Macaca mulatta: one gene and its partners. The main gene of each other region encodes a partner of the protein of the gene in region 5 in a complex. Links are inferred from orthologs where the notes say so. Each region holds a gene or a part of one and is shown on either strand. Other genes may lie near its edges. The genes, in order: EXOSC5, EXOSC3, EXOSC2, EXOSC4, EXOSC9 and EXOSC6.

Region 1 (5,058 bases), on a different chromosome or scaffold from region 5:
TCTACCCTCACTATCAACAATGACCAACATTCCTATTGCCCTTATGATGTGCCAGGTCCAGTCCTTAGCATTTTACATATTAATTTTTCACAGTCCTATGAGGTGGCCACTGTTAATATTTTAGAGAGGGAAATTAGGTCCATAGATCCAGAGAGGTGCAGTCCGTTGCCCAATACACAAGTGGAAAGTGGCAGAGCAAGGACATGAACCCACCCATGTAACCACTACTCTCCTATCTGTCAAATGTAGTTCAAAGCTCTTCTGCAACCCCTTGCCTCTCCCCCTCTAAAGAGAGGCTTCCACCCAGGTTTTTTGCAGTGTAATTTTGACAGCATCCACCTGAAGGGATTGTGACCCTTTTGACAAGAAACAAAGCCTTCTCAAGTGTTTCTAAGAAATGTGGGCAAAGTGCCCTATCTGTACCTCTGTCCCTCCGTTTTTCCCCTCATTAACTCAACAAATATTAATCATCTCCTCTGTACAGTGTCCAGAACACACGAGTTCCCTGTCTTGATATTCGATCAGGAGACACAGGAACCAAACAAAATTTTTACACAATTCATTTTAAAATCAGAATTGTGGCAAAGGAGCAAAGAAATACAAGGCCCTATGCAGCCTGCGATAAGGGGACTTGCTCTCTTCTTTCTTCTTCTTGAAGAGGGATCTTTGCCCAGAAGAAAGTCTCTCCTTTATAAAGTCAGTTTCATTCTCCAAAGCCTGAGGGAAAAGGTCTCGCGGTCTTCCCCTGTCCCTCCAAGGAACCTCCCCTGAATACGAGTGGCAGTTAATAAGGAACCCCCGGCCGGGCGCGCTGGCTCACGCCTGTAATTCCAGCACTTTGGGAGGCCGAGGTGGGCGGATCACGAGGTCAGGAGATCGAGACCATCCTGGCTAACACAGTGAAACCCCGTCTCTACTAAAAATGCAAAAAAAAAAAATTAGCCGGGGGTGGCGGCGGGCGCCTGTAGTCCCAGCTACTCGGGAGGCTGAGGCAGGAGAACGGCGTGAATCCGGGAGGCAGAGCTTGCAGTGAGCTGAGATCCGGCCACTGCACTCCAGACTCCGCCTCAAAAACTAACTAAATAAATAAATAAGGAACTCCCATCCCTCTCTTCAAGTCGTCTCCCTTCCTCAGGGCCCACAAAGAAGTTGCAAACGGGTTTTGTCCTCTCCTGAAGAAGTGGAAGTTCTTTTCTTCTAAGGAAGTGGCAGATCTTCCCTTCGGTGTCTTCTCCAAGGGGTCTCCCACTCTTTTTCCCTTCTGTGACAGCCCTTCCTTCATATCCTTCAGGGACCCCACACTCTGAAGATAGCCTTTACATCCCTAATCCCCTTTGGGAAAACCCCCTGGGGCCCAGGTACTCACAGATCTAGCCAGTCCCCGAGCCCCAGGCCGCCACAGCAGCAAGAGGGCAGCCTGGCTCAGGCCTCGGTTTGGCCGCCAGACCCTCGCCGCAGCGATCGCTACCGCCATCTTGGCTAGCAACCACTCAGCGGTAGGGCACTCACGTAGGCTAGATTCGGGGCTGCCCCTTTATGTGCCTGACACAAACTCCAGCACCATCTGACAAGAAAATCACCTTCTTCCCATTCTGTTGTAGATAGAATGCACAGAGATTTGGAGAAGAAAACCTATCTACCCAAAATTTTCCCCAGTCGCCTCATTGTAGTTACTCCTGTAACAGGCAAAGAAGAGGGCAACCTGACCACGGCCTCAGGGATTTAGGGCCCGGGGGCCCAGAGTAAAACAGGTCACTGCCAAGGCCTGCCTCCTGTTCTCAACTGTCCAATGGCGTTGCCAGAGTTAGGAGGTGGGACTGGGCGGAGCCAGATTGTTGGTAAACGCTAAGCCACGTGCGGACGCCAGGACTGACGGCCGAGCCCAGCGCGTGCGCAATGGTTACGCAGAGTGTTCGCAGCGCGCGCTGCCGGGCGGAAGTGATAATCGCAGCCGCACGTGGGGTCGGCGCGATGGAGGAGGAGATGCATACTGACGCCAAAATCCGCGCTGAAATTGGAACAGGGTGCAGCCCTCGGGGTCCCGGCTGCAGCCTCCGGCACTTTGCCTGCGAACAGAACCTGCTGTCGCGGCCAGATGGCTCTGCTTCCTTCCTGCAAGGTAAGAACTTACCCAGGTCTTTTGGAGAGGGACTACCATGTACCGTGCAACGGAGTGCCCATCTCCCCATGATACCAGCTGGTAAATGTCACTCCTGCGTTGATACATGATTTCTTGTCCGATTGAATACTACTACATACGCAGGGATACATACATCTCTCCCTCACGACTAGAAAGGAGAAGATAGCTCCATCTTTGTAAATATGTCTGAGAATGACAGGCGGGGCAGACCGTCCCCGCAAGAATTGATATTTCAGAATAGGGAAAATCACCTCACCAGGGTAAATATCGCCCTTAACTAGGTTCCTCCTCCTCACCCCCGCCCCCGCCCGCCCCACACACACGCCCGCTAGGTCCTTGCATCCCGGACTGACGCAAACCTGTCAATTTGCATACTCTGGACTGTGGCGGATCTTTCACCCACGTAAATACTCCTCAAATTGAAGATAATGTCACTGCCCTGGGTTGAAAAATACATCCCCACCGCTACCTCACTGCATCTCTCCACAGGAGTAAATATCCCTAAGATTAGGGCAAGTCTTACCTATAGGGCAAATATCCCCTTCCCCTAGCTAAATAACTCTCAGAACCAGATTAACTCCAAGAATATTTCTCTTTAACGTTTGAGACAGGAGGCTGGGCACAGTGGCTCACGCCTGTAATCCCCACACTTTGGGAGGCCAAGGCGGGTGGATCACCTGAGGTCAGGAGTTCGAGACCAGCCTGGCCAACATGGCGAAACCCCGACTCTACTAAAAGTACAAAAATTAGCCAGGCATGGTGGTGGGCGCCTGTAATCCCAGCTACTGGGGAGGCTGAGGCAGGAGAATCTCTTGAACCCAGGAGGCAGAAGTTGCAGTGAGCCAAGATTGTGCCATTGTACTCCAGTGTGCACGACAAAACAAGATAATGTCTCAAAAAAAAAAAAAAAATTTTGAGACAGGGTCTCACGATGTTGCCCAGGTTGGTCTTGAACTCCTGGACTCAAGCAGTCCTCCTCCCAAAGTGCTCATATAGGTACCAGCCACCACGCCCAGCCCCAATACATTTTAACAAAATCTGGCTGCTGTGTTGATTGTGGGGAGTATGGGGGAAAACAGGGAGGTGATGGTGGCTCCAGCCAGAACAGGAGTAGTGGAGGTGATGAGATTCTGGATGTAGTTTGAAAGTAAAACGGACAAAACTTACCTATAGTTTGGTTTGAGTGCGAGGAAAAAGAGTCAGGCATAACTAAGGTTTCTGCCCAGATCTGTACAAGTCTGGAAATCAGGAGAGAGACCCAAGCTGGACATAGGCAATTTGGAACTCTCTGGCTGTATATATGGTATTTCAGCCTATTGACTGAACGAAGTCAGTGTAGATGGAAAAGAGGTCCCAGGACCAAGCCCTAGGCCTTCCAACTTGAGCAGTCAGGGACTTGTGACAAGCAAGCTAAAGGAGACTCAGAAGGAACGCCCAGAGACTTAGGGGGAAACCGGGAGAGGGTGGTGACCTGGGGCCAAGAGAAGAGCGTGTCTGAGATGTGAGGGCTGACAGCTGTTTCGGCCTTACTGACAGCCGGGTCAATGGAGGGTTGATCATTTGGAGGTCAGTGGTGACGATGTTGAGCTGCCGCAGTGGAGTGGTGGGGTCACAGGAAAGGAAGAATAGACAGCTGTTCAGGAGTTTTGCTGTAAGAGGATCAGATAAGTGGGGCAGGAATTGAAGATGGTTGTGGGGTCAACAGGGGAGAGAATTGCTGGAGCCACGTCTTGAAGAAGGTGAGAGGGGAGGGACTCTTGTGCTCAGGCGAAACACAGGCAGTTCATCTGGAGCCAGAGGCGAGTTCTATTTTGGTTTCTCCAGTCCTCAGGGCAGTTTTTCCTGGAACTAAGCACACCTTCCGTGTAAGGGCAAATTGGGCATCCCAGGAAATACCGCCTTAACCAGGGACCTTCCCGGACCCTCCCTCAGGCTTAGCACTTATGCTGAATTGAGATACCTCAAGTTTCTTCGAACCTAAGAATTAAGAAGGGGCCGGGCGCAGTTGCTCACATGGGTTGCTCACACCGGTAATCCAAGCACCTTGGGAGGCCGATGAGGGTAGATCACCTGAGGTCAGTAATTCTTTTTTTTTTTTTGACACAGAGTCTCGCCCTGTCACCCAGGCTAGAGTGCAGTGAAGCGATCGTGGCTCACTGCAACCTCCACCTCCCAGGTTCCAGCGATTCTTCTGCCTCAGCCTCCCGAGTAGCCAGGACCACAGGCGTGTGCTCCCACGCCCAGCTAATTTTTGTAGTTTTTAGTAGAGACGGGGTTTCACCATGTTGGCCAGACTGATCTTGAACTCCTGACCTCGTGATCCACCCGCCTCGGCCTCCCAAATTGCTGGGATTACAGGCGTGAGCCACCTCGCCCAGTCGAGGTCAGGAGTTCTGAGACCAGCCTGGCCAACATGGTGAAAACCCGTCTCTACTAAAAATACAAAAATTAGTCGGACAAGGTGGCACGCACCTATAATCTCAGCTACTCTGGAGGCTGAGGCACGAGAATCACTTGAGCCTGGGAGGCGGAGGTTGCAGTGAGCTGAGATTGCACAACTGCACTCCAGCCTCCTGGGTGACAGAGGGAAACTTTGTCTCAAAAAAGAAAATAGAGACAGGAGTCTTGCTATGTTGCTCAGGCAGGTCTCAAACTCCTGGCCTCGAGCAGTCCTCCCACCTGGGCCTCCAGAGTGCTGGGATTACAGGTGTGAGGCACCATGTCTGGCCTCAAATGTTTTGGGTTTTTTTTTTTTTTTTTTTTTTTTTTTGAGACGGAGTCTCGCTGTTATTGTCCAGGCTGGAGTGGAATGGTGCCATCTCGGCTCACTGCAACCTCCGCCTCCCCGGTTCCAGCAATTCTGCCTCGGCCTCCCGAGTAGCTGAGATTACAGGCACCCACCACCATGCCCAGCCAAT
Region 2 (4,940 bases), on a different chromosome or scaffold from region 5:
GTTTATATTTATAAATATAAAATATTATATTTTATATAATATATATTTTATATAATATTTTACATTATATATAAAATATATAGCTATAAAAATATTTATATAGCTATTATATAGCTATATAAAATAGCTTATATTGTTTATATATATTGTTGGCCTTTTATTATACCCAGGGGAAAATAGTTTGCCAAATTTGGAGGGTGTGTTAAAAATGATCTGTCTTAATCATCCTGAAAAATCTAAAAATTTGGCTGGGCATGGTTGCTGATGCCTGTAATCCCAGTACTTTGGGAGGCCAAAGTGGGCCGATCACTTGAGGTCAGGCGTTCAAGACCAGCCTGGCCAGCATGGTGAAGCGCTGTCTCTACTAAAAATACAAAAATTAGCCAGGTGTGGTGGTGCACTCCTGTAATCCTAGCTACTCGGGAGCCTGAGGTAGGAGAATCGCTTGAACCTGGGAGGCAGAGGTTGCAGTCAGCTGAGATGGTGCCACTGCAGTCCAGCCTGGGTGACAGAGCAAGACTCTGTCTAAAAAAATATATTTATATATTATATATATTTATATGTTATATATTTATATGTTATATATTTCATATATTTTTTATATATATAACATTGGAAGCAGGTGCCTCAAAGAGGTGAGCAGCAGAAAGGGAGGGCAGTTAAAGGCCATCAGTCAGTCATGGCCTCCCAGACCCTGGGAACTCTACCACTGCTGGAGAATCTGATCAAGCACTAATTGAAGGTTCCAGTTGACAGAGGAAACGGTGATTTCAAATAAGAACCTCAAAAGTCAGATGATTGGAAGCTCTATGGATTTGGAATTCAACTGCTTCTCACCTGGGCAACTAAGTGTGCTCCAGGGAAATTTGAGTTACTTATATTCCAGGCCATGCAGGACTATCGCAAGCATGTGAAATATGTATATTTGCAGGAGGAAAAAGTCTAGGGAGAAATACACACCAAAGGAATACATTCGTTCATTCATCAGGCATTACCTATTTCATGCCACACCTTGGGCTCTAAAGAATCAGAACTACCACGTAGCAAGGGAGAAAAACGGGTAAGAATAAAACATCATTTATTTCCTTATTTTATTTTTGTCTGTGTTTTCTAAATGTGACTAGATCTCTAACAACCAAGAAGGTTTTATTTATTTTGAAAAAATATACTTTCCCTGTTAAAAGGTGAGCCACTCTTCTGAGGGCAGAGTCGGAAAGAAGGGTCCAGAAGCCCACCTAGCGTCCGATTTCCTTTTGTTTGTTTTTTTTGTTTTTTTTTTTTTTGTTTGTTTAACAGAGTCTCGCTCTGTCTTCCATACTGGAGTGCAGTGGCGCCATCTCGGCTCACTGCAACCTCCGCCTCCTAGGTTCAAGTGATCTCCTGCCTCAGCCTCCCGAGTAGCTGGGATTACAGGTGCATGCCATCACGCCCGACTAATTTTTGTATTTTTAGTAGAGACAGGGTTTCACCATGGTGGCCAGGCTGGTCTTGAACTCCTGACCTCAAATGATCCACCCGCCTTGGCCTCCCAAACTGCTGGGATTACAGGCGTGAGCCACTGCACCCGGCCCCAGCGTCCAGTTTTCAAAGCCCCTCTGCTCAGCTTCCAGAGATCCCAGGAAACTCTAAGTGGGAGCATCTCGTATCCCCACGATGCGACCGGTCACAAAACACGGGACCCGAGACACTGAAAGTGGAGGCTTCTTGATGGATCAAGCTGCGCAGTTCTCATACCGACCCGCGGCCAGGCTGTAAGACAGGTGGTCGGCTACAGACACAATCACAGCCACCTTGGACAAGGACCCGTGAGCTGACAGCCATTAAGCTGCTTATAAACTGGTCCAAATCTAACGGACCGCTACTGCCGGAAACGGAAAGTCCTCAAGGGCGGGTGTTGGAAGCAGAGCGGAAGCGGAAGGAGAGTACCGGAAACGGTGTTTGGTGGCGCACGCGATGGCCGAACCTGTGTCTGTTGCGGCTGAATATCTCGCGGGCAGCAGGGCGCGCGCTGCACGCACAGTACTAGGTCAGGTGGTGCTGCCGGGTGAGGAGCTGCTCCTGCCGGAACAGGAGGACGCGGAAGGCCCTGGCGGTGCTGGGGAGCGACCGTTGAGCCTGAATGCTGGAGCGCGCTCGCGGGTGCGCGTTGTATGCGGCCCGGGCTTGCGGCGCTGTGGGGACCGCCTGCTGGTCACCAAGTGCGGCCGCCTCCGTCACAAGGAGCCCGGCAGTGGCAGCGGCGGCGGTGTTTACTGGGTGGACTCTCAGCAGAAGCGGGTGAGCTGGGACTGCGGAGGGGTGGTGCGGCCGTGAGAGTGATAGCCCTGGTTTGAGAAGACCTCCCAAAAGAAAAAGGGATGAGATCCTGAGGCCCTCTTGTTCAGGCAAACCTAGAGCCACCGTAGTCTTGTGCCCACTTCTGCATGTCCTTTAGAGGGACCGTGAACAATAGGAACATAGCCTGAGAAGGGCGACCAGGAGAGAAAAACGTTTGGAGACCGTGAGTCATGATTATAAAGTCTTCAAAACTCCAAACGTCAGGGAGCAGCAGGCTTGCCCATTCAAGTCTCAGAGGGCAAGACCAGGCTCAATGAGTGGATGTCATAGGGAGTTAATTTCTCCTAGAACAGGTAAGAAAATTTTTATACAGAAAAATTTTTCTGTATAATTTTTCTGTATAATTTTCTTTCATACGGAAAAAAATTGTCTAACTATGGAATGGGCTTCCTTGGTTGTAAGGATTCCTTTGCCACTGAACTTATGCCACAAAGCTAGGAACTTACTGGTTGGGGTGCTGAAGAGATAATGGGGTTTGGACTCAATTAACAGACTACCAGAAGCTGCACACCTGACACTTTATGATGTGATTTTCTTTTACCGAAAGTGGCATATGATCAGATTTCTTTCTCTTTAATGACAATAAAGTAACCACGAAGGACGTGCTGAAGGTATCTTCCAATGGTATCTTCTCATTTATGGCTGTTTTCTCATTCTATTTCCTTTTGTAGTATGTTCCAGTGAAAGGAGACCATGTGATTGGCATAGTGACAGCTAAATCTGGAGATATATTCAAAGTTGATGTTGGAGGGAGTGAGCCAGCTTCTTTGTCTTACTTGTCATTTGAAGGTGCAACTAAAAGAAACAGACCAAATGTGCAGGTAATTATGGGAGCCTTTGGCTTCAAAGTAAGAAACATCCCTTCTCTAGAACACTCAGATATCCAGAAGGCTACCTGAATTGTCTCCGAAGTATGACCTAGATCTTTGAGCATGTATATAATTGCCCCAGGCTCCAAGAGTTTCTTCAGATGCTGCAGGATCAGAGCCACATAATTTTTTTTTTTTTTTTAACATTTACAATTTATTTTACATTGGCTACATTTGTTCTTGGGATGTTTCATTTCTACTGAGTTGAAAGGTTGTATCTGTCATCACCATTATTTGTTATGTCCATATCCTCGGGACAAGGATGTCTGCTGTAGGCTTAGAGGAGTGACAGGTGGTGCAAATTGACATTATCAGCTATCCATCCATCCTGGCTGTAGGTCCTAGAAGCTGATAGAGGAGTAATACTGTTACCTTGGGTTTTCAGGTTGGGCTTTTCAGGTAGCATAGCCACACGCTTCTTGTCTATCCAGCCCGAAATCTAGTGATGTCTTTGCCTCTTCACATTTACTTCTCATGCAGATTTATTTGCTTAATCTTATTTGATTCTGTCTCTGATTTTTGGCATGTCTATCCCTTTATCTCCACTTTGCAAGTTCAGGCTTTAGCTCCGTCTTGACTGGTCTCAGTCACTTCTTCATTAATCCTTGCCTCCACGCTTTTACCTCACCATCCAGGGTTTTGAGAGCTGACATCCTAACACAGTTACTTTCTCGAAAAGGAAAAACGAGATTCTCCAAAATCCACAGAATTCCTTGGCATTACACTCCAGGTGTCTTTCCTCATCCCTAATTATATCCTTCATACAGCCATACTCTAATCACACCAAACGCCATTAGACTCAATTTCCTGCCCTTATTCCTTTACACATGCTGTTCCCTCTGTCTTGATTGCACTATCCCTTCGCAGCCTGTGGAACACATTCTCATCCTTTGAGACCTAGGCTAAACACGACCGCCTTTGTAAAGCCATCCCCAGTTGTGACTTTTCTCATATTTTTGCTCTAGCACTTAATGGATTTAGCCTCGACTGAGGTTTGTTTATATGTACCTCCCCACTGCCCTCCAAGACCAAATGCTTCTGAAAAGCAGAGAATGTTTTGTTCCTCTCTAGTTTACATAGTCACCAACAAACAGTGGGTACTTAATATGTTTTGAGTGAACAGAATTGAGTTCACTCTCCATTTCCTCAGTTTCATCCCTTTAAGGTTTAGCTCTATGAGGTTTTTAAGTAAATCTTGCAGGGAGAAGTGTCAGTGAATTATTGTTTTGTTTTGCTTTGAATAATTTGCATGCCGGAGTTCCTCTCTGTAAATTGTAATTCTCTAGGGTAGTGCCACCTAACATAACTTTCTACAGTGATGCTGTTTTGTATCTGCACTGATTAGTATGGTAGCAGTTGAGCACTTGAAATGTGGCTAATGCAACTCAGGAAATTAATTTTAAATATCTAATTTTAATTTAAATAGCTGTTGAGCACTTGAAATGTGGCTAATGCAACTCAGGAAATTAATTTTAAATATCTAATTTTAATTAATTTAAATATAAGTTTAAACAATTGGCTACCTACCATATTGGACAGTGCAATCCTAGAGGTGTTCTCTGGCCTTGAGATGGGCTCCTTGTCTGTGATTTCCTGGTTGGTGAAAGGGAATGATACATGTGTTCCTTTTTTTCCCCAAGACTCAACTTCAAAGTGACTGTGGGAATCCTGTAGTACAGTCAGTCCCTTAGCCACAGAACTGTAGGTGGCTGGCATTGATGCCTGTGAGAAAGA
Region 3 (4,324 bases), on a different chromosome or scaffold from region 5:
GATCTGTGTGAAAGCTTTGAAAACCAGGTGAGAACAAAAGGTGTGTATTCCCTTTCTTGCGGCATCCAGGTTGTACAACCAGGCTTTTTCTGCCCCCTCCATATCCCCTACCCCACCCCTGCCTGCCCTGTCATGCTGTAAGTCTGAGGTTTTGACCATGACTGTAGGTGGGGTGGTGCAGATCAGTGTAGGCTTCAGAGGTTTTCCCATGTTATGTCACCACTCCAAGCCTTGGTTACCTCCTCTGCAAAGTGAGTATAATAGCATGGCCTACTTCACAGGATTTTCTTTTTTTTTTTTGAGACGGAGTCTCGCTCTGTTGCCCAGGCTGGAGTACAGTGGCACAGTCTGCACGCTGCAACCTCTGCCTCCCGGGTTCAAACGATTCTCCTGCCTCAGCCTCCCAAGTAGCTGGGATTACAGGCACTCGCCACCACGCCTGGCTAATTTTTTTATACTTTTAGTAGAGACAGGGTTTTACCACGTTGGCCAGGCGGGTCTCGAACTGCTGACTTCAGAAGATTTCCCCCCCACTTGGCCTCCCAAAGTGCTGGGATTACAGATGTGAGCCACTGCGGCTGGCCTAGGATTTTCTTTAGAATTCAGTGAGATGGTGCATGTAAAGTATTTAGCACAGGGCCTGATACCTAGAAGCATTCAATGAAGATTAGCCCCAGAAAGCAAGCCAGTGAGGTTAGAACAGAGTGAGTGAGGGAGAGAGTAGGGGCAGATATGAGCAGAAAGCTGAGGTGGGCAGACATAGGCCTGCCTTGTAGCCAGAGTAAGCATTTCGGCTTCTACTTTGTGTAATCTGGGAAGCCCCTGGAAGGGGTGGAGCAGAGGAGGGACTTGATCTGGACTTAAGCTCACTGTGGCTGCCGATGGGAGATTGAAGGGGGATAGAGCAAGCTTAGGGAGGTGGATTAGGGACCATACTCATAATCTGAAGTGATGGTGGCTTCGACTAAGGTGGTAGCAGTGGAAGGTGGAGGAGTGATTGGGATCCACATAGATTTTATTTTCTGAGTGTTTTTTTTGAAATCATGAAAAGGTGTTGGGTTTTGTATTCTTTGGACTTTACTGTACATAGGACCCAGTCAACTGTGAATAGAAATAATTTTACTTCTTCCTTTCCAATTTGGATGCCTTTTATTTCCTGCATATGTTTTAAGGGTAGAGCCAGCAGGATTTGCTACTGGACTTGTCCTGAAGTGTGTGAGAGAGAGAGAGGAATCAAAGAACTCTCCAAGGTTTATTGGCCTGAGCAACTGGGGATGGAGTCACCATTGACTGAGATGGGGATAACTCATCCCCTACCTCGGTTTGCTACGGAGGACTGGAGGGGGCTGTGGGAAAGCTTAGTTTTGGGCGCGATACATTTGAAAATGCCTATTAGTCATCTAAATGGCAGAGTTGGGTAGCTGGCAGTTGAGAAGGATTTGGAATTCAGGAGAGTGGCACAGTGACAGCACAGAGTGGTATTTTAATGGTATTAGATTGAGTGGCCGAAAAGCGAAGAGGTCTAAGGACTTGGCCTCAGCACCGAGTACGTCTCATTAGAATTGTGGATGAGGAGCTAGCAAAGGGGCTTGAGAGGAGCAGGCAGTGAGTGAGTGGGAGAGACATGAGCAGACTCATGCGGTTGGCGTCTGGCTCAGATTTCCTTTCTCTTCCTTTGGCTGGTGCAGAACTCATCCGTGTGCCACAGGAAAATAGTCCATGTTTTTCAGTGTCATGTAATTGAACAAAATAGGGGGTTTTTTTTGGCTAAATGAACTACTTGAATAGCGATTTGTTTGAGGTTAATGGAGACTTTATACATGGAGGAATGTTTGAAGTTAGCAATTTCTGAAAATAAGTCCAGACAATATAGTTACATGAATTTGCTGAATGTGACGCCTATTCAAGGCTTTCACTCTGTTAAACCAACATCTCAAATGGTGTGTGGTCTTGTCAGAAAGTCTGCTCACAGATGCACGAATCCCTTGTGTTTTATCTTTCAGATACATTGGTGAAGTAGGAGACATTGTAGTGGGAAGAATCACAGAGGTAACGTCGATATCAGATTGGTGTTTACAAAGTCGAGGCAGGCTGGCGATTGTATTCATGGGACAGTCATTCCACTTGTAGTTACATGAAAAAGGCATTCGTTGCATTTGGCTATTGTGTGGCCTCTGATGTAAATATGTGGCTTGTTCGATTTGGGATTACTGGTTACTTTCTTTTTCTTTTTTTGAGATGGAGTCTCGCTCTGTTGCCCAGGCTGGAGTGCAGTGGCGCGATCTTGGCTCGTTACAACCTCCGCCTCCAGGGTTCAAACGATTCTCCTGTCTCAGCCTCCTAAGTAGCTGGGATTATAGGCACCTGCTACCACGCCCGGCTAATTTTTGTATTTTTAGTAGAGACGGGGTTTCATCATATTGGTCAGGCTGGTCTCAAACTCCTGACCTTAAGTGAGCCACCACCTCGGCCTCCCAAAGTACTGGGATTACAGGCGTGAACCACCGCACCCAGCCTTACTGGTTACTTATGATGTGAACTCCTGTCCCTGGAGCATGTGTCCAGGTGTGGAACTTGGCTTATAGGTTCAACAGAAGAGGTGGAAGGTGGAGACCAACTCCAGGCTGGATTCGGTCTTGCTGCTCTCGTCCATGAACCTTCCTGGAGGAGAGCTGGTAAGGGCTACAGCTGGGGCCATGGACTGGAGCCCAGTGGGCTGGGGGGAGCTGTGGGACCCTTTGTTCCACCAGAGGACTTTGCTTTACACTGAGGTTACCCCTTTGACTCCCGTTTGTCTGCTGTGAAGTTTGCTGTCTGGATGTGTATGTAGACTTTTCACCCTGTCCAGGTCTCCCGAAAGAGGGAGCAGTTGGCATACGGTAGGATCAGAAACATCCATGGGGTGGGATCCCAACAGAGAGTTGGGGAGAGAAGCTCTTAGATGCTGCTTGTTAATAGCTTTCCTTTTCTGGACGTATCAGCTTTGCACAGTGAAGATGTTCCTTGGAAAGCTGTCTTTACGTTAGTTTTTTGTGAATTGAAAGGCATTTGGTTATTCCAGACAACCACAGTAACTAAGCCACAGCCTTTTGTAAAATACCATGGTTCACCTTTATCTTCAGTCCAGCATGTATTTACAGAGAGGCTTACTGTGCCAAGCTCTGTGCCAAGTGCCAAGCACGACTGAGTTCCCCAGCAGGGGATATAAGATAACTGACCCAGTATCTGGCAGTAGAAGAATAAATAAGCTGTGGTTATACAAAAGGAGTGGTTCATTCCAGTGAGAGAAGCTCGTAGGAAAGACAGGATGGAGAGACTTTAAATAACTAGTTCAGGGAATCTGAGATAAAGGGAAATGTGTGAGCAGAGATATATCCAAGCAGGAGTTAGTCTGGTCCTGCTGGACCACAGAGAGCTGTCATGGAAGATGAGTGTGGAAATGTTGGCTGGGTGAGATTGGGAGGGGTTGGAATGCTCCTCAGGGAAGGGAGGGAAAGAGGAAGAGAAGAGGACTATGGAAAAGTCTCTTGCGATGGAAAGTCGTGATTATCACTCATTCCCCTCAAGTGGCTCGGGTTACCTACTTTTGCCATAGTTCTCAGTGTTTGAGTATTGTGGTTGGCCTCAAAAATCTCAAAAGGAAGTGAAAGAGAAAGAAGTGATGGAGACCTTTCTGAGGACCTGGCTTCAGTAATGTCATTTCTTTGTGTATTTCAGAGGAGAAGATCTGCAGAAGATGAGCTTGCAATGAGAGGTTTCTTACAGGAAGGGGACCTTATCAGTGTATCCTGTGCTTTGCACTGCAGCCTCTTCATGCTTTTCTGTGGGGCTGGGAAATGGGCCTTCCATTGTATGTCTCTGACGGAAGAACCGTTAGACCAGGTGTCGGGCTCTGCTGTGTCCTTTCTCGGTCTCCTTAACTCAGGCTGACTCCCCAGCTCTTGTTCAGACCTGCTGCTAAGTCATTTCTTTGGGTCTTGTAACTTATGGTAGCCTGTGCTTGAGGCTTTTGTTAATGATGTTAACTTTTAGCCCAGGGAGTGGAAGAGGTGTTGTTCACATCAAGATATTAATGACAGGCCGAGTGTGGTGGCTCATGCCTGTAATCCCAGCGCTTTGGAAGGCCAAGGAGGGAGGATTGCTTGAGCCTAAGAGTTCAAGACCAGCCTGGGCAACATAGCAAGACCCCCTCTCTACAAAAAAATAAAAATAAAAAATTAGCCGGGCATGGCGGCACATGCCTAGCTACTCAGGAGGCTGCGGCTGGAGGGTTGCTTGAGCCCAGGAGCTCAAGGCTACAGTGAGCTCTGATCACACCACTGCA
Region 4 (4,545 bases), on a different chromosome or scaffold from region 5:
TTGGGAGGCTGAGATACAAGAATCACTTGGACCCAGGAGGTGGAGGGAGCAGTGCGCTGATACTGTGCCACAGCACTCCAGCCTGGGTGACAGAGTGAGACTCCATCTCAAAAAAACAAAACAAACAAACAAAATGACCCAGTAAGAACAGGGACAGGAAGAGCTCAGACTGCAAGGGGAGAAGGGCCTGGGCTGCTCCACAGTACGCAGTGTCTGGCTGCAGAGCCAAGGGTGGGGAATCGGTGGTGGCCAGTGGCAGAGGATAGTGGCCTATCATGGCCTCATACCAGCTGCAGCAGCAGGGCTGTGGCTTGCTCACTCATTCTCATGCCTCTCAGTCTTTCAGGAGAGCATAACCACCTCTAAGGGGATGCTGAACTTGGGCCCCTGCAGCAGACTGCATTTCCCCAGCCCACCTGCTGTTCCTACAGTCTAATATTGACACTCCTCCCACTGAAGGGTGGGGTCCCTGTCCCCATCCCTTAAGCCTGGGTAGATGTGTCTGACTGCCTTGACCCACAGAGTCTGGCAGGAGGGACACTATGTGACTTCTGAGGCTAGGTTCTAAAAATATCATGCACATGTTGTCCATCTCATTGTCCTGGAAGGCTACCCTTGGAACCCAGCTGCCATATTGCAAGGAAGCATGGAGAAGCCACAGGTAGGTGTGCTGCCTGACAGCCACAGATGAGGTCCTGGCCAGCCACCAGCATCAGCCACCAAAGATGTGAAAGAGAAAGCTTTAGGATGGCTCCAGCCCCAGCCACCATCTGGCAGCAACTGTAGGAGAGAGCCTACGTGCAAACTACCTAGCTGAGCCTAGATAACCCAAGACTGCAGGATATAATAATAGAATGATTGCTATTTGAAGCCGCTGAGGTTAAGTGGCAAGAGATAAACAGACACACAACCCCTCTCTGGAAAGGATGAGGAAATCTGCAACCTCAAAAGGAAAAGGGAGGCCCACTCGACTGCAGTGTGGAAGCTCGGTGTAAAGGGAGGGCATGAGAGGACTGGAGAGGTGCCAGGTGTGGACCATCCTCGGACACCAGCCTGGTCACTTTTCTAGGACCGCTCAATGCCTTCTCCTGTCAGTGTCGCAACCCACTGGGTTCATCCTTCCACTTCCACACTTGGGGCGCGGGGAAGGGCTGAATGTGGGCACCACTGGTCCCGAGGGCGTGACGGGAATTTCTCCTTCGGCGGGCGCCCACCTCCTGGCACCCGTGGCACAGCTCCGGGAACGGCTGCGGGCTCAACCGCTGCTTCCCCGACAGCGCCACCGCAGTTCCCCGGAGACAGAAGTGAAGCCGAACCGCCAGAAACCGTAGATCCAGGGAGGTCGGTGCCGCGAGGAACTCCAGTTCCCCGGGACCGGAAGTGACAGCGGACCGCCGGAAACCGTAGATCCAGGGAGGTCGGGACCGCGGGGAGCTGTAGCTCCCCGGAACCGGAAGTGATAGCGGACCGCCGGAAACCGTAGATTCGGGGAGGTCGGAGCCGCAGGGCGCTGTAGTTCTCCCGCGAATCAGAGAACTAGGCAGAGAGCGGAGCTGGCGGCCGGGCAGCATGGCGGGGCTGGAGCTCTTGTCGGACCAGGGCTACCGGGTGGACGGTCGGCGCGCCGGGGAGCTGCGCAAGATCCAGGCTCGGATGGGCGTGTTCGCGCAGGCTGACGGCTCGGCCTACATCGAGCAGGGCAACACCAAGGCGCTGGCGGTGGTCTACGGCCCGCACGAGGCGAGTGGGCGTGCGGGATGGGAATCGCGTGACCGCGGGATCTGCGGGGCAGCCGGGCTGAGCACAGGTTCGGGGACTTGAGAGGTGCGGCCGGCGCGCCTCAGTCTACACAGCCGATGCTCAGCACTGCATCTCACTCGGAGTAAATGCAAGTCTTTAGTGTGCTGCGCGGTGGTCCTGCCTTTCTCATCGGTCTCTGTGCCTGCGCTCTCCCTCCTCTTTGCGGCTCTTCAACGTGCCAGGCACTCCCCCACTCGCTCCCTCTCCTCTCAGCTCTACTCCGACGTCACTCCTTCCCAGACGGCTTTATCCATGCGGTACTTCTCTCCCTACAATAAACCCTTGTCTTTTGTGCATCTACAATCTCAAATGCCTATTTTGCTTAAGCATTTTCCCGTTTCCTCGCTAGAACATAAGCTTCCTAAGGACAGAAACTACATAAAACTCTCTGGTTTCATTGCTGTGTTTCCAGCGCTGTAACTGTGCCTGGCCAGTGAAGGTATTGAAAGAGTGTTTGTTTAGCGCATGAGGGTAGGAGCTCTGCTTTCCAGGCGGAGGGAACCAGGAGGGCGAAGACCACGGTGGTGAAAACAAGCAAGGCACTTATGCATAACAGAAAGACTGCTGGTGGGGAAAGAGGGGATAACTCTAAATAAGGTTGAGAGTTCCCGGGGAGGTGAGGAATTAGGGTTTTGTAGACCAGGGAAATGATTTGGGATTTTATATCATATGTAATGTGAAACCTTTGTAAGGTAATTAGGATTTGAGTGTGAAGGTGAGACAGAATCAGCCTTGATGTTTGTAAACTTGGGTTGGCAGGGAATGGGGCAAGGATGGGCACAAGGAAGCCAATTAAAAGATGCCAGAGGGCAACACATGCAAGACAGAGAGTGCAAAACAGGGGGCTTTGTTTTGGAGGTAATGTAGTTGCCCCTTGCTGAGGCATTGAAAGTGGAGGGAGAGGCAGACCCACAGAGGACAGTGGCGTGTGAGCTGGAAGGAGTGGGCCTGGCTCATGTGTCCGTCCTCTTCCAGATCCGGGGTTCCCGGGCTCGAGCCCTGCCGGACAGGGCCCTAGTGAACTGTCAATATAGTTCAGCGACCTTCAGCACAGGTGAGCGCAAGCGACGGCCACATGGGGACCGGAAGTCCTGTGAGATGGGCCTGCAGCTCCGCCAGACTTTCGAGGCAGCCATCCTCACACAGCTGCACCCACGTTCCCAGATTGATATCTATGTGCAGGTGAGCCGGCTGCAGCGTCAATCCAGGGAGGGGTGGGTGTGATGGGGTTGGGGAGAGAGTCTGATAGACTCACACCCTGGGGTCCCTGCAGGTGCTACAGGCAGATGGTGGGACCTATGCAGCTTGTGTGAATGCAGCCACACTGGCAGTGCTGGATGCTGGGATACCCATGAGAGACTTTGTGTGTGCGTGCTCAGCTGGCTTTGTGGACGGCACAGCCCTGGCGGACCTCAGCCATGTGGAGGAGGCAGCTGGTGGCCCCCAGCTGGCCCTGGCCCTGCTGCCAGCCTCAGGACAGATTGCGCTGCTTGAGATGGATGCCCGGCTGCACGAGGACCACCTGGAGCGGGTGTTGGAGGCTGCTGCCCAGGCTGCTCGAGATGTGCACACCCTCTTGGACAGAGTGGTCAGGCAGCATGTGCGTGAGGCCTCTATCTTGCTGGGGGACTGACCACCCAGCCACCCATGTCCAGAATAAAACCCTCCTCTGCCCACACAACCCTCACTGTACGTTAATCACCCAACAGCACTTCAGAGCCATGTGAAGCCTGGCAGAGCCTGGTCTGGTGCTGGCTCCTGGGGATGACCAGGGCCCCTCGCCCACACATGAACTGCCTATCTCTGTGTAGCCTAATTCAAACCCTGAAGAGAACAGTGGATTAGGGGGTTGCTGTGGGGGAGGTCCTGGGTGGAAAAAGCAACATGTCCCAGTAAGGACTCAAGGCAGCTGAGCAGGAGGCAGGGCCTGGCAAGATGAGCCAGGTCATTGGACTGAGGAATCTGTTACCCTTACTCTGGCACATCCAGGGCCCTGAGCAAAGGGCTGAGGGAGAACTCAGCTGGCTCTGAGTACCCAACCTAGAGATGTGGGGGCCATGTCCCATGGCCTCTGGACTATGGCCTGGAGCCCCTTGGGCTTTTCCTGCTGCTTACCTTGGGCTCTAAAAAATACAACAGCCAGGCATGGTGGCTCACACCTGTAATCCCAGAACTTTGAGAGGCTGAGGTAGGCGGATTGCTTCAGGTCAGGAATTTGAGACCATCCTGGCCAACATGGTGAAACCCCGTCTCTACGAAAAATACAAAATTAGCTGGGGGTGGTGGCACATGCCTGTAATCTGAGTTACTCAGGAGGCTGAGGCAGGAGAATCTCTTGAACCGGGGAGGCGGAGGTTGCAGTGAGCCGAGATCGTGCCACTGCACTGCAGCCTGGGCGACAGAGCAAGACTCCATCTAAAAAAAATAAAAGTACAAAAATTACCTGTTCTCATGGATCACTTGAGGTCAGGAGTTCGAGACCAGCCTGGCCAACATGGTGAAACCCCATCTCTACTAATACAAAAATTAGTGTGGTGGCAGGTACTTGTAGTCCCAGCTACTAGGGAGGCTGGGGCAGGAGAATCACTTGAACCAGAGATGAAGGTCACAGTTAGCCAAGATAGCACCACTGCACTCCAGCCTGGATGACAGCAAGACTCTGTCTCAAAAAAAAAAAAAAAAAAAATTGTTCTCACATGGAGTCTTCAGTTTTGACCCTTCTCTCTGCCCACCACTATTTATTTG
Region 5 (3,853 bases):
ATGGCACACTTATTACTATATATTACATATATGTAGTATTTTGTATATACAATAATGCATAAAATGTGTATATTTATATTATCACTATATATAGTAATATATAGCATATCAGCTATATAGAGATGTATACTAGATAAATAACATACAGGATACTATATAGAGAGAATATAGATATATAAATATAGGGATATAAGTATTGCATTTTTAGAGGGGCTAAATATTGTGATTTAAATTTCAACTAAATTATTGTGGCTAACTGCAGTACTAACACGACTTGCTAAAAGAATATGCATATCTTTGTAGAGTAGTGGTACACTTTGGCATAAAATGATAGTGACATTTTTAATTAAAAAAAATTTTTTTTTGTAATGTATTTGGGTGGGTTTTAAGGGAATGAGTTTCTGGAAGATCTTATTCCTCCGTGCTGTCTTTTTTTGTGGTTTCTAGACTGAAACAAAAAGCCCATCCTTTATCGGAACATGTAATACTGTCTAAATAAAACTTTCTGGGATAGAAACATTACACTGGTATAGCAGCCACTAGCCCCACGTGGCTACTGAACACTTGAAATGTGGTTTGTATTACTGAGAACTGAATTTTTAATTTTATTTAATACAAAATTAAGCAGCCACATGTAGCTAGTGGCTACCATACTAGACATTGCAGTATTAGAACATAAAAAAATTCTAGAAATGACTAGAATACTGATAGTCCTAGACGTTGCTTGCATTTTGAAAGCCATAGAACTGAAGAAGTTGTTTTTGTGTATGGTTATTTTTACTTAAAAAAAAAAAAAAAGCAAATTCTTGCTGGTCTAGATAATAGAATAATGACTTATTTTCTTATGTGGTAAGAACAGAAATCCTACAAGGAACTGGGAACTAGGCTGGCAGGGAAAACTGAAGGTGATATGTTTAGTAGGAATGTAAAACAAATACTTCTGTTTTCAAAGAGAGAAATTATGAACACTACTAGAGCCTGAGCTTTTTGTTTTTTTACTTAATAGGGAAGGAAAAAATTTCCCATTGATTGGGACCCTTACTCATATTTCCCAGTGGTTACTTCTATTTGGTATAATTCTTCCAAATACTTGTCCCAGGTATTTATTTACTCTCTGTGCAGTGATATAAGCTAATGCTGCATAGACTTATGTAGCATTGAATATAACTAGTTGGTTTAACAATTCTCTTATTGTTGAAGATGTAAGTTGTTTCCATTTTTTCACTGTTAACAATATCCTTGCACTTGCATATACCTTATATGTTTGTTTAGTGTATTCTTCTAACAGTGAATAGTATTTTCAATTGAATATAATGAAGGTGGACCTAAGAATTGGAAAAATGGAGCAGGTACAGCCTTTCTAAAGCATGTGAAGAAAGGGAGAAACTAACTGAAAACTAAAAATACAAAGAATTGATATGGGTTAATTCACGTTTTATGTATATCATTAACTAATGATCAGGAGAAAAATAGGCAAAAGACAGGGAGCAGTACTCAAAATATACAAATGGCCAGTAATATTTTTCATGGTCAGCCCTGATAGTAATACAAATAAAATCCAAAGAAAAATGACATGGCATTTTTTGTTACTGTATTTTGGGCAGTATTAAAAATACCAGCAATGCCAAAGGTATATGGGAAATGGGTTTTTATTTATTGGAATGTAAACTGGAACTATTTCTGGAGGAATAGAGTAGCACAAACAATTCAATTGTCTCTACAAAAGATGATATATAGATTTCCCCCTAACTTTTCTATTATGACATGTACCAAATTGTCACGCCATTCGAGCACTTGCAGGAAATAAGAGTTTAAAGAAACAAATGTTACAGACAAGTTCTAGAGTGCTCTAAGAAGCTGATTTAAAGAGAAGAGTAAGCCTCCACCTAAAGAGTGGCATGGGCTGTTATATGCAAATAGTCTTATTTTTATTTATTTTTTAGGATGGAGTCTTCCTCTGTCACCCAGACTGGAGTACAGTGGTACTGCAACCTCAACCTCCCTGGTTCAAGCGATTCTCATGCCTCAGCCTCACGAGTAGCTGGGCCTATAAGCACATGCCACCACAACTGGCTAATTTTTCTGTTTTTAATAGAGATGGTGTTTCACCATGTTGGCCAGGCTGGACTCGAGCTCCTGACCTCAGGTGACCAAAATGACCTCAGCCTACTAAAATGCGGGGATTAAAAGTGTGAGCTACCACGCCCAGCCCAACCCCAGCCCCAGCAGTAAGAGTTTTAGAACGTCTGATAGAAATAAACTTGTGCAGAAGTAAATATTGCAAGAGATTGCTTACCCTTTTTTTTTTTTTTTTTTTAAAAAAAAAAAAGATGCTCCCATAATACTGTCAGATAGTGAAGAAGAAGAAATGATCATTTTGGAACCAGACAAGAATCCAAAGAAAATAAGGTAACACGTTTCTGGTTTATTTCAAATGTATATATATATATATTCAACACTTCTAGAGGTTTGCTCTCTGGTTTTACTCTCATCTTGCCACACGACTATAAACAAAAAGACGTCCCTTTTTCATTAGCGATCCATCTGTTCTGTGATTTCTTTACCTTGTGATTTATAAAAATTAGGACCAAAATCTATAGAACTCTTTGGATGCCAGTCTTACACATTTTATATCCTATTGGAAAACTAAGAAATGCCTCTTATTTCAATAATCCAAAACTTAACAAGCATACGCTTAGTAAATTCTTACTTTATTAACAGAACACAGACCACCAGTGCAAAACAAGAAAAAGCACCAAGTAAAAAGCCAGTGAAAAGAAGAAAAAAGAAGAGAGCTGCCAATTAAAGCTAACAGTTGTATATTTGTATATATAACTATTAAAAGGATATTTATTCCATTCTAAGAACCCTGGGTATTTTTTATTCACAAATCCATTATAAAATCTAGCAGGGTTTTAAAAATAGTTTTTTGTTTTTAATGTTATGCTTTAAAATAATAAACCTTCTGGAGCATTTCTCGTCTGTTAATTTGCACGTAAGCTTCCCACCCTCTTCCGCTCCCAGCCTCTGTTTAGTTTGCAGAACCTAAACAGGTTTTACAAAGAGTGAAAAAGTCTGTATTCAGATATGCTTAGATTATGCCCATCAGCAAATTGATCCAGTTGCTTAGGAAAATGAATGTTAGAATTTGAGGGTCTGTTTTCCTAAACCTACTTTAATTTTAGAGGAAGGTTTTCACTTCTCATTATATAGTAAACCAAGTAAACTTTTTTAATTGAAATCCTGAAGAAGTTAAATTTGACTTGCGAAGTTTTCCAAATCAATTTATTATCCTGACAGCTGGCATCATTAATACTTTAACAAAACCACTTAAAATTAGCCAAATATCTAAGACAGATACATATACAAAAGATATACAAATTAAAACCATTTAAAAAGTAATAGATACCATAATTTGTACTTGGCCATAACTTCTGTATTCAGAAATGATTGTAAAATTAAAACCTAAGTTAAAAACTGTACACCATATACTTTGAGTGATTTACATCTTAGAAAACAAAGGCAGTCTTTCATTGTTACAGATTTAGTGTCTCTGGTGGGTTGAGGAGAGAAACACCATGATACCTGTAAGTAGGAAAAAAAAAAACAAAAACATTTTTAGTAAACAGTCACTGGGTAAAGGAGATCATGGAATAATGTTTGTACTCATGTATTGGGAACTAAAAAATGCTATTTCTCTCTGACCGAGTTGATGGTGTTAGAAACATTGGTCCCTGAAACACACATGCATGCCCCTCTTCCTTCTCTCTCCTCCCCCAGACCCAGGGCAGAAAGCATGAACTGCAACCTTCTTCAAACACATAACCAATTAAGAGAACAGCTTCTTAAGGAG
Region 6 (5,002 bases), on a different chromosome or scaffold from region 5:
CCTGAGTTTCCAATCTCCCTGAAACTGCTGGAATGTTCTCAGTGTGTACCCCACACAGCCCTCTTTGGGCTCCATCTACTCTAGGAAGTCACACTTCAGAATTACATTATGTCCTCTCCCCACTGGTGTGATACTATTTCAGACCTGCTCTAGAAAGACACGTTATGTCAGAAGGGAAAAAATAAAATTTGTATTTTTCCTGGTCAGGGGTTCTGGGTGTGGCCCCAGAAACTCATTCTGGTCCTTGGGCTGACCCAGGCCGGCCCTTCCTAGAGAAGCTGAGTGCAGAGAGGGGACCAGGCCGCCTTCCAAATGGCAGTCACCTAGCTTCCTACCATGCAGTCTTGAGCCCAAACCAGCAGAGCTGGTAGCGACACAGGAAAGACCCCACCTCGTGGTGAGTCAGTCAGGTTGTACCTGGCCTTCCTAGCAGTGCACCTGCCCTCTGCGGTGCTGCTCAGGGTCTTCCTTGTAGGACCAGGGTGCCACTTCTCATCAGCCGTGGAGGCTCGGGTTGTGCCATTCTGCACATGGCCAAGGACAGATGGCTTCTACCCAGAGCAAAACCCTTTTCAGCTACCCAGCACCAAGCCAGGTTGGGGCACGAGGTGCACTCAGCGCACTTCTGGGGCCGTACTTTTTTTCCTGAGACGGAGTCTTGCTCTTGTTGCCCAGGCTGGAGTGCAATGGTGCGATCTCCACTCACCGCAACCTCCACCTCCCGGGTTCAAGCGATTCTCCTGCCTCAGCCTCCCGAGTAGCTAAGATTACAGGCATATGCCACCATTATTAGTGCTGGCTAATTTTGTATTTTTAGTAGAGACGGGGTTTCTCCATGTTGGTCAGGCTGATCTCGAACTTCCGACCTCAGGTGATCTCCCTGCCTTGGCCTCCCAAAGTGCTGGGATTACAGGTGTGAGCCGCCGCGCCCGGCCAACTCTCCCTACTCTCGTCGTATCTCAGCAGTTCCCCTAACTCTGGTTCGTGTGGGTGCAGCTGCTCTCCAAATCACAGCGCTCCCATCAGGCTCTGGAGCTCTTTTCAGCCCGTCTCTCCTGTTCACGTGGGCCTAAGGAACAGAACCCGTTTAAGGCAATGCCGCCGCGACCCTTGACACCTGGGATGCAAGAACAAAAGAGCCTTGCTCTCTTAAATCCCGGACCAAGAAGAACCACACCATAAGACGTTTTTCAAATATAAAAGGGTCTTTCTTTTGGCTCAGACACAGAAGGCACAGTCGTCTTGTCCATCCTCTGAAAAGTCGCCCAGTTATATCGGAGGGGGTCACTGGCTGGCCTGAATGACAGCAGCTCTAGGTACCAGCTTCCAGGTAAGTCCAGCTAAAGTTTCCAACTTGGGAGTCAGGATGCGCTCACAGGTTTCCTCAACTGGGTCGAAGCTAAGAGCCGGCTCAAGTAAAGTTCCTTTAACGAGGTTTGTAAAAACCCTTTCCAACACCACAGCTGTCCGGCGCCTTGGCTCTGCTAGGGCCTACCCAGGTGCTCTCCAGGGCTCCGGCTGCTTATCTCGACGCAGGCTGGAGGCCGACGGCGCGGGTCTTTTCGGGGACGGCGGCAGCACGGTCCTCGGCTTGCGTCCGTCGTTGCTCAGGCTTCTAGTTCAGGGCTGGGCGGCGGCGCCCCTGCGGCGCGCCGCCCGCACCAGGCTCTGCTGCAGCACGGGGTAGAGGCGCTGGCAGCCCTCGAGGCCCAGGCGTACGGCCTCCGCCCAGCTCTCGATCAGGCCGCCCTCGCCGCTGCCCAGCAGCCCGGCCACCTGATTCAGCACAGGCATGAGCGCCACGGTGAGGCCGGCGGCGGCGCGCTCTTCCTCTAGCCGCGTGGGGTCCAGCAGCCAAGTGGGCGCGGGCCCCGGCGCGAGGCTCAGGCCACAGCCCACCACCAGATCGTACATCTCAACGCCCGCGTCGGCCAGGGCGAGCGCGGCGGCGGTGAGCGCGGCGGCCAGGGCCGAGCCGCCGTCCTCCAGCAGCAACGCCGACACCTCGAGTTGCGCGCGCGGGTAGCGGCCCAGGCGCACGGCCGGCTCCAGTGCCTCCTGCAGCGCCAGCGCCAGCTCACGCTCCTCGCCGCCGCCCGGGGGAGCGCGGCGCCGGCGGCCCGCGAAGGGCGCGCGGCGGAAGTCGCACAGCAGGCGACCGCGCAGCGCGGCCGGGGCTTCGCCGCCAGATCCGGCCGGGCCGCCGCCGCGCTCGCCTCCCTCGGCCTGTCGCGGGCCCGACACTGCACACAGCACCTTTGTGCCTCCCGCCTCCAGGTAGGCCGAGCCTTTGGCCTGGCTCAGCAGCCCGGCGCGCGCATACACGGGCCGCAGTCGCGTTGGGTCGCGGGCGGCGGGCGCCTCCTCCTCGTCGGCCGCGTACAGCTGCGGCGGCTGCGACTCTTCAGGGCCGCGGATGCGGCGGTGGTCCCCGGGCATGGCGGCTCCTGGCGTGAGAGCCGCTTCCGCCCAACGCACTGCCGCACCCACTGGTTCTTCCGTTGCTTAAAGACGCGCGCCTGCGTGAGGGTTGTCGGGAGAGTGACGGGCGGCGCTACAGCGCCTGCTGGAGGCTCGGAGGGAGAACGGCCGGCGTCCCTGGCGCCCTGGTCCCACTTGTGCAGGGCTGCCTGATCCATCCCTCCTGCTGGAAGGGAGCGGGAGAGCAGCTCCAAGGCTTCTCTGCTTCCACTAACCCCACCCATCTACTGAATTATGAACGCCTTGCTCCATGTCACCCTATTTGGCCTCAACCTCCACAAACGTTTGAGGCAACCCCAGGGGCTTTTCCCAAAATTTAGGGTTCTGGGGCTGGACTAGGTGAACACTACAGCAGCCAGTATAAGCCACAGCATTTATTCTACAGACAGCAGGGGCCAAGGGCTGTCAAAACAGCGAGCTCCACCTGGGAAGAGGGATAGAGATCATATAGCATTAAGTATTGCACGTGGTCCTTTTATTCTCTGCAGCAAAAAACGATTCGTCCTTGCTGACGCGGAAAGCTCAGGCTGGAAAGCTGTTATCTACAGATGCGAGTGTGGTGATCAACAGCAATGCGGGGGTAGTGGTTCTCGACAGATGGCACTGACGTGGAGGGCTCAGGGCAGAAGTATAAGGGGCGCTGAGTCACAGGACTGCTCGTGAGGGTATTCCAGGTACAGCCGGGGTAGGAGGGGCTCTCAAAAGGTCCCAGGATTCAAATGTTCTTGTAGCAGATCAAGAGCTCCCGGCTGGACGGATGGAGCCAGTAGAAGCCACCTCCTCCCCCGCTCAGTTCTTTACATCCCCGAGGCGCAGCTGGGCGAAGGAAGTGGCCAGCTGCAGCGCCTCCTGCAGGCAGCCAATGTTTTTGCCTGTGGCCTGTGCAGACACATCCTTGCCCCCACCTTTACCGTCCATCAGGCCTGACACCTGCTGTACCCACTCGCTGGCTTTTAAGCCCCGATTGGCTGCATTCTAGAAGAAAGAAAGGGAAGGGGGAAGTCAGGACAGAAAATGGGATTGAGGGAGGAGCCATCACCCACTCCTTTGCCCTGGGTGATACTGCTGGAGGCAGAGACAGACTTTACGGCTAGTGCAGGGGGCAGTCATGGCCCCTGCCAGGACAGGACAGAGTGGCAAAGCCAAGTATCAACCAGACAGATGCAACCAGTGAGGAGGCCTGGGTAAGAGGTACTGGCAAAGGTGACCAACAGGCAGGCAGGAGACAGGCTCTTTTAAATGCAGGTTGTACACACACAGGCCTCAGCAAACAAGCTTAAGACCCAACACTTCCCACTGGTGCAAGGTGGTTCTGACCTGAGGGACTTGACACAGGCAAGTGATCTTGCCAGCCTCGTTGTCCACTGTGAAGAGCATGGCAGACGTCTGAGGGGAGTGTGTCTTGAAGAGCTTCAAGGCTTCATTCAGGGCCTGTGGGGAGGACCTGGCTCAGACCATGGTGCTGGAGCAGGGACCCTCACTAGTGTGAGCAGTTGCAGCCCTCAGAAGGACCGCCACCCACCCCCACCCCTTCCCAGAGCAGATGTAGTCCTCAGGGCCTGGGTGGAGGACCCCAGTGTAGGGCCCTGCCCACACCCTGGCCCAGGTGTGCCTCCCACATGCAGGGAGCTGCTGCTCCTCCCAACCTTAATCCCAGACAGTGGGCCCTTAGGCAACCACTTGGCTCAGAGCCACAGAGGTCACATATCAGCCACCAAAGGGCTGATGTGCCCCAGGGGAGGGGGCCCCGGCCCCTGGGTTGCCTTGGCTGAGGCACCGCTCTCCATCTCCAGGATGACGAGGGGCTGGTTGGGGTTGCTGTCGATAAGCTGCTTTGTCTTCTCTAACACCTGCAAGAAAAAAGTCCAGAAGAGCAGCTCAGACCAAAAGCACAAGCCGCAAACCCCTGGCTGTATCCTGCCGGCCTTTGCCTAGGAAACACTCTGGCCACCGGTGCTGCCCGGACTCACTCGTTTCTGGACATCGGCTTTGCTGGCTCGGTCTAGGTCATCCATGACCTTCTTTAGGGATTTGAGAGTCTCCCGCAATTCGTCCTTCTGCCACTGGGGGATGACTGCAGTGGCCAGGGCCTGGAACGAGAACCAGAAGACCATCTGAATCTGGGCCACAACTTGCTGGGATGTCAGGGTCAAGCCCACCCCACCTGAACCCAAGTCCTCCCTGACTAGTGTCCTGGAAAGGAAAGCAAAAACACAAAGCTGTCTTCTGGCTTTGAGACCAGTCCCTTCTGGAGCAGCTGCGGCAGGTAAAACAAGGAGGGCTAGAGAGAAAGGAACAGTAGAAAGCTGGGCTCCAAGTCAGGCCTAGTCCTTACCAGGCTGGGAACAGCCTGTGATGAGCTTCCTGGCAGCTTAAAATGCAAATAAATGCCAGGCAGGCTTGGAAGCAGGGGGCAGCCTTTTCCCCTTCTCCAAATCCCTCCACCCCAGTGCCCACACATGCTTGGGAAGAGCTCTCCTGCTAGCAGCAATGGGGGCAGCAGGGAACCTCCAGGGTCCAA

Evidence for each region.
Region 1: EXOSC9 (region 5) and EXOSC5 share a complex: the UniProt entries of both Homo sapiens proteins name them as parts of the RNA exosome core complex. The link is inferred for Macaca mulatta from reciprocal best matches to the Homo sapiens genes EXOSC9 and EXOSC5.
Region 2: EXOSC9 (region 5) and EXOSC3 share a complex: the UniProt entries of both Homo sapiens proteins name them as parts of the RNA exosome core complex. The link is inferred for Macaca mulatta from reciprocal best matches to the Homo sapiens genes EXOSC9 and EXOSC3.
Region 3: EXOSC9 (region 5) and EXOSC2 share a complex: the UniProt entries of both Homo sapiens proteins name them as parts of the RNA exosome core complex. The link is inferred for Macaca mulatta from reciprocal best matches to the Homo sapiens genes EXOSC9 and EXOSC2.
Region 4: EXOSC9 (region 5) and EXOSC4 share a complex: the UniProt entries of both Homo sapiens proteins name them as parts of the RNA exosome core complex. The link is inferred for Macaca mulatta from reciprocal best matches to the Homo sapiens genes EXOSC9 and EXOSC4.
Region 6: EXOSC9 (region 5) and EXOSC6 share a complex: the UniProt entries of both Homo sapiens proteins name them as parts of the RNA exosome core complex. The link is inferred for Macaca mulatta from reciprocal best matches to the Homo sapiens genes EXOSC9 and EXOSC6.

What each region holds. Positions count from the first base shown.
Region 1 is NC_133424.1:52,540,810-52,545,867, reverse strand, and holds the start of EXOSC5 (exosome complex component RRP46), read left to right. Parts: upstream 1-1,906; 5' UTR 1,907-1,971; coding exon 1,972-2,119; intron 2,120-5,058. Other genes in the region: BCKDHA (2-oxoisovalerate dehydrogenase subunit alpha, mitochondrial), read right to left, coding at 1,367-1,474. UniProt on the Homo sapiens protein: Non-catalytic component of the RNA exosome complex which has 3'->5' exoribonuclease activity and participates in a multitude of cellular RNA processing and degradation events.
Region 2 is NC_133420.1:61,811,919-61,816,858, forward strand, and holds the start of EXOSC3 (exosome complex component RRP40), read left to right. Parts: upstream 1-1,945; 5' UTR 1,946-1,953; coding exon 1,954-2,277; intron 2,278-2,841; exon of another isoform or gene 2,842-3,008; coding exon 3,009-3,158; intron 3,159-3,232; exon of another isoform or gene 3,233-3,554; intron 3,555-4,733; exon of another isoform or gene 4,734-4,928; intron 4,929-4,940. UniProt on the Homo sapiens protein: Non-catalytic component of the RNA exosome complex which has 3'->5' exoribonuclease activity and participates in a multitude of cellular RNA processing and degradation events.
Region 3 is NC_133420.1:16,884,078-16,888,401, reverse strand, and holds part of EXOSC2 (exosome complex component RRP4), read left to right. Parts: coding exon 1-27; intron 28-2,003; coding exon 2,004-2,049; intron 2,050-2,585; coding exon 2,586-2,675; intron 2,676-3,717; coding exon 3,718-3,783; intron 3,784-4,324. UniProt on the Homo sapiens protein: Non-catalytic component of the RNA exosome complex which has 3'->5' exoribonuclease activity and participates in a multitude of cellular RNA processing and degradation events.
Region 4 is NC_133413.1:154,461,027-154,465,571, forward strand, and holds EXOSC4 (exosome complex component RRP41), read left to right. Parts: upstream 1-1,450; 5' UTR 1,451-1,569; coding exon 1,570-1,740; intron 1,741-2,775; coding exon 2,776-2,982; intron 2,983-3,073; coding exon 3,074-3,433; 3' UTR 3,434-3,475; downstream 3,476-4,545. UniProt on the Homo sapiens protein: Non-catalytic component of the RNA exosome complex which has 3'->5' exoribonuclease activity and participates in a multitude of cellular RNA processing and degradation events.
Region 5 is NC_133410.1:130,631,112-130,634,964, forward strand, and holds the end of EXOSC9 (exosome complex component RRP45), read left to right. Parts: intron 1-2,330; coding exon 2,331-2,409; intron 2,410-2,420; exon of another isoform or gene 2,421-2,721; coding exon 2,722-2,806; 3' UTR 2,807-2,861; downstream 2,862-3,853. UniProt on the Homo sapiens protein: Non-catalytic component of the RNA exosome complex which has 3'->5' exoribonuclease activity and participates in a multitude of cellular RNA processing and degradation events.
Region 6 is NC_133425.1:69,618,592-69,623,593, reverse strand, and holds EXOSC6 (exosome complex component MTR3), read right to left. Parts: upstream 3,240-5,002; 5' UTR 2,440-3,239; coding exon 1,621-2,439; 3' UTR 168-1,620; downstream 1-167. Other genes in the region: AARS1 (alanine--tRNA ligase, cytoplasmic), read right to left, coding at 3,271-3,456, 3,799-3,912, 4,245-4,331, 4,452-4,571. UniProt on the Homo sapiens protein: Non-catalytic component of the RNA exosome complex which has 3'->5' exoribonuclease activity and participates in a multitude of cellular RNA processing and degradation events.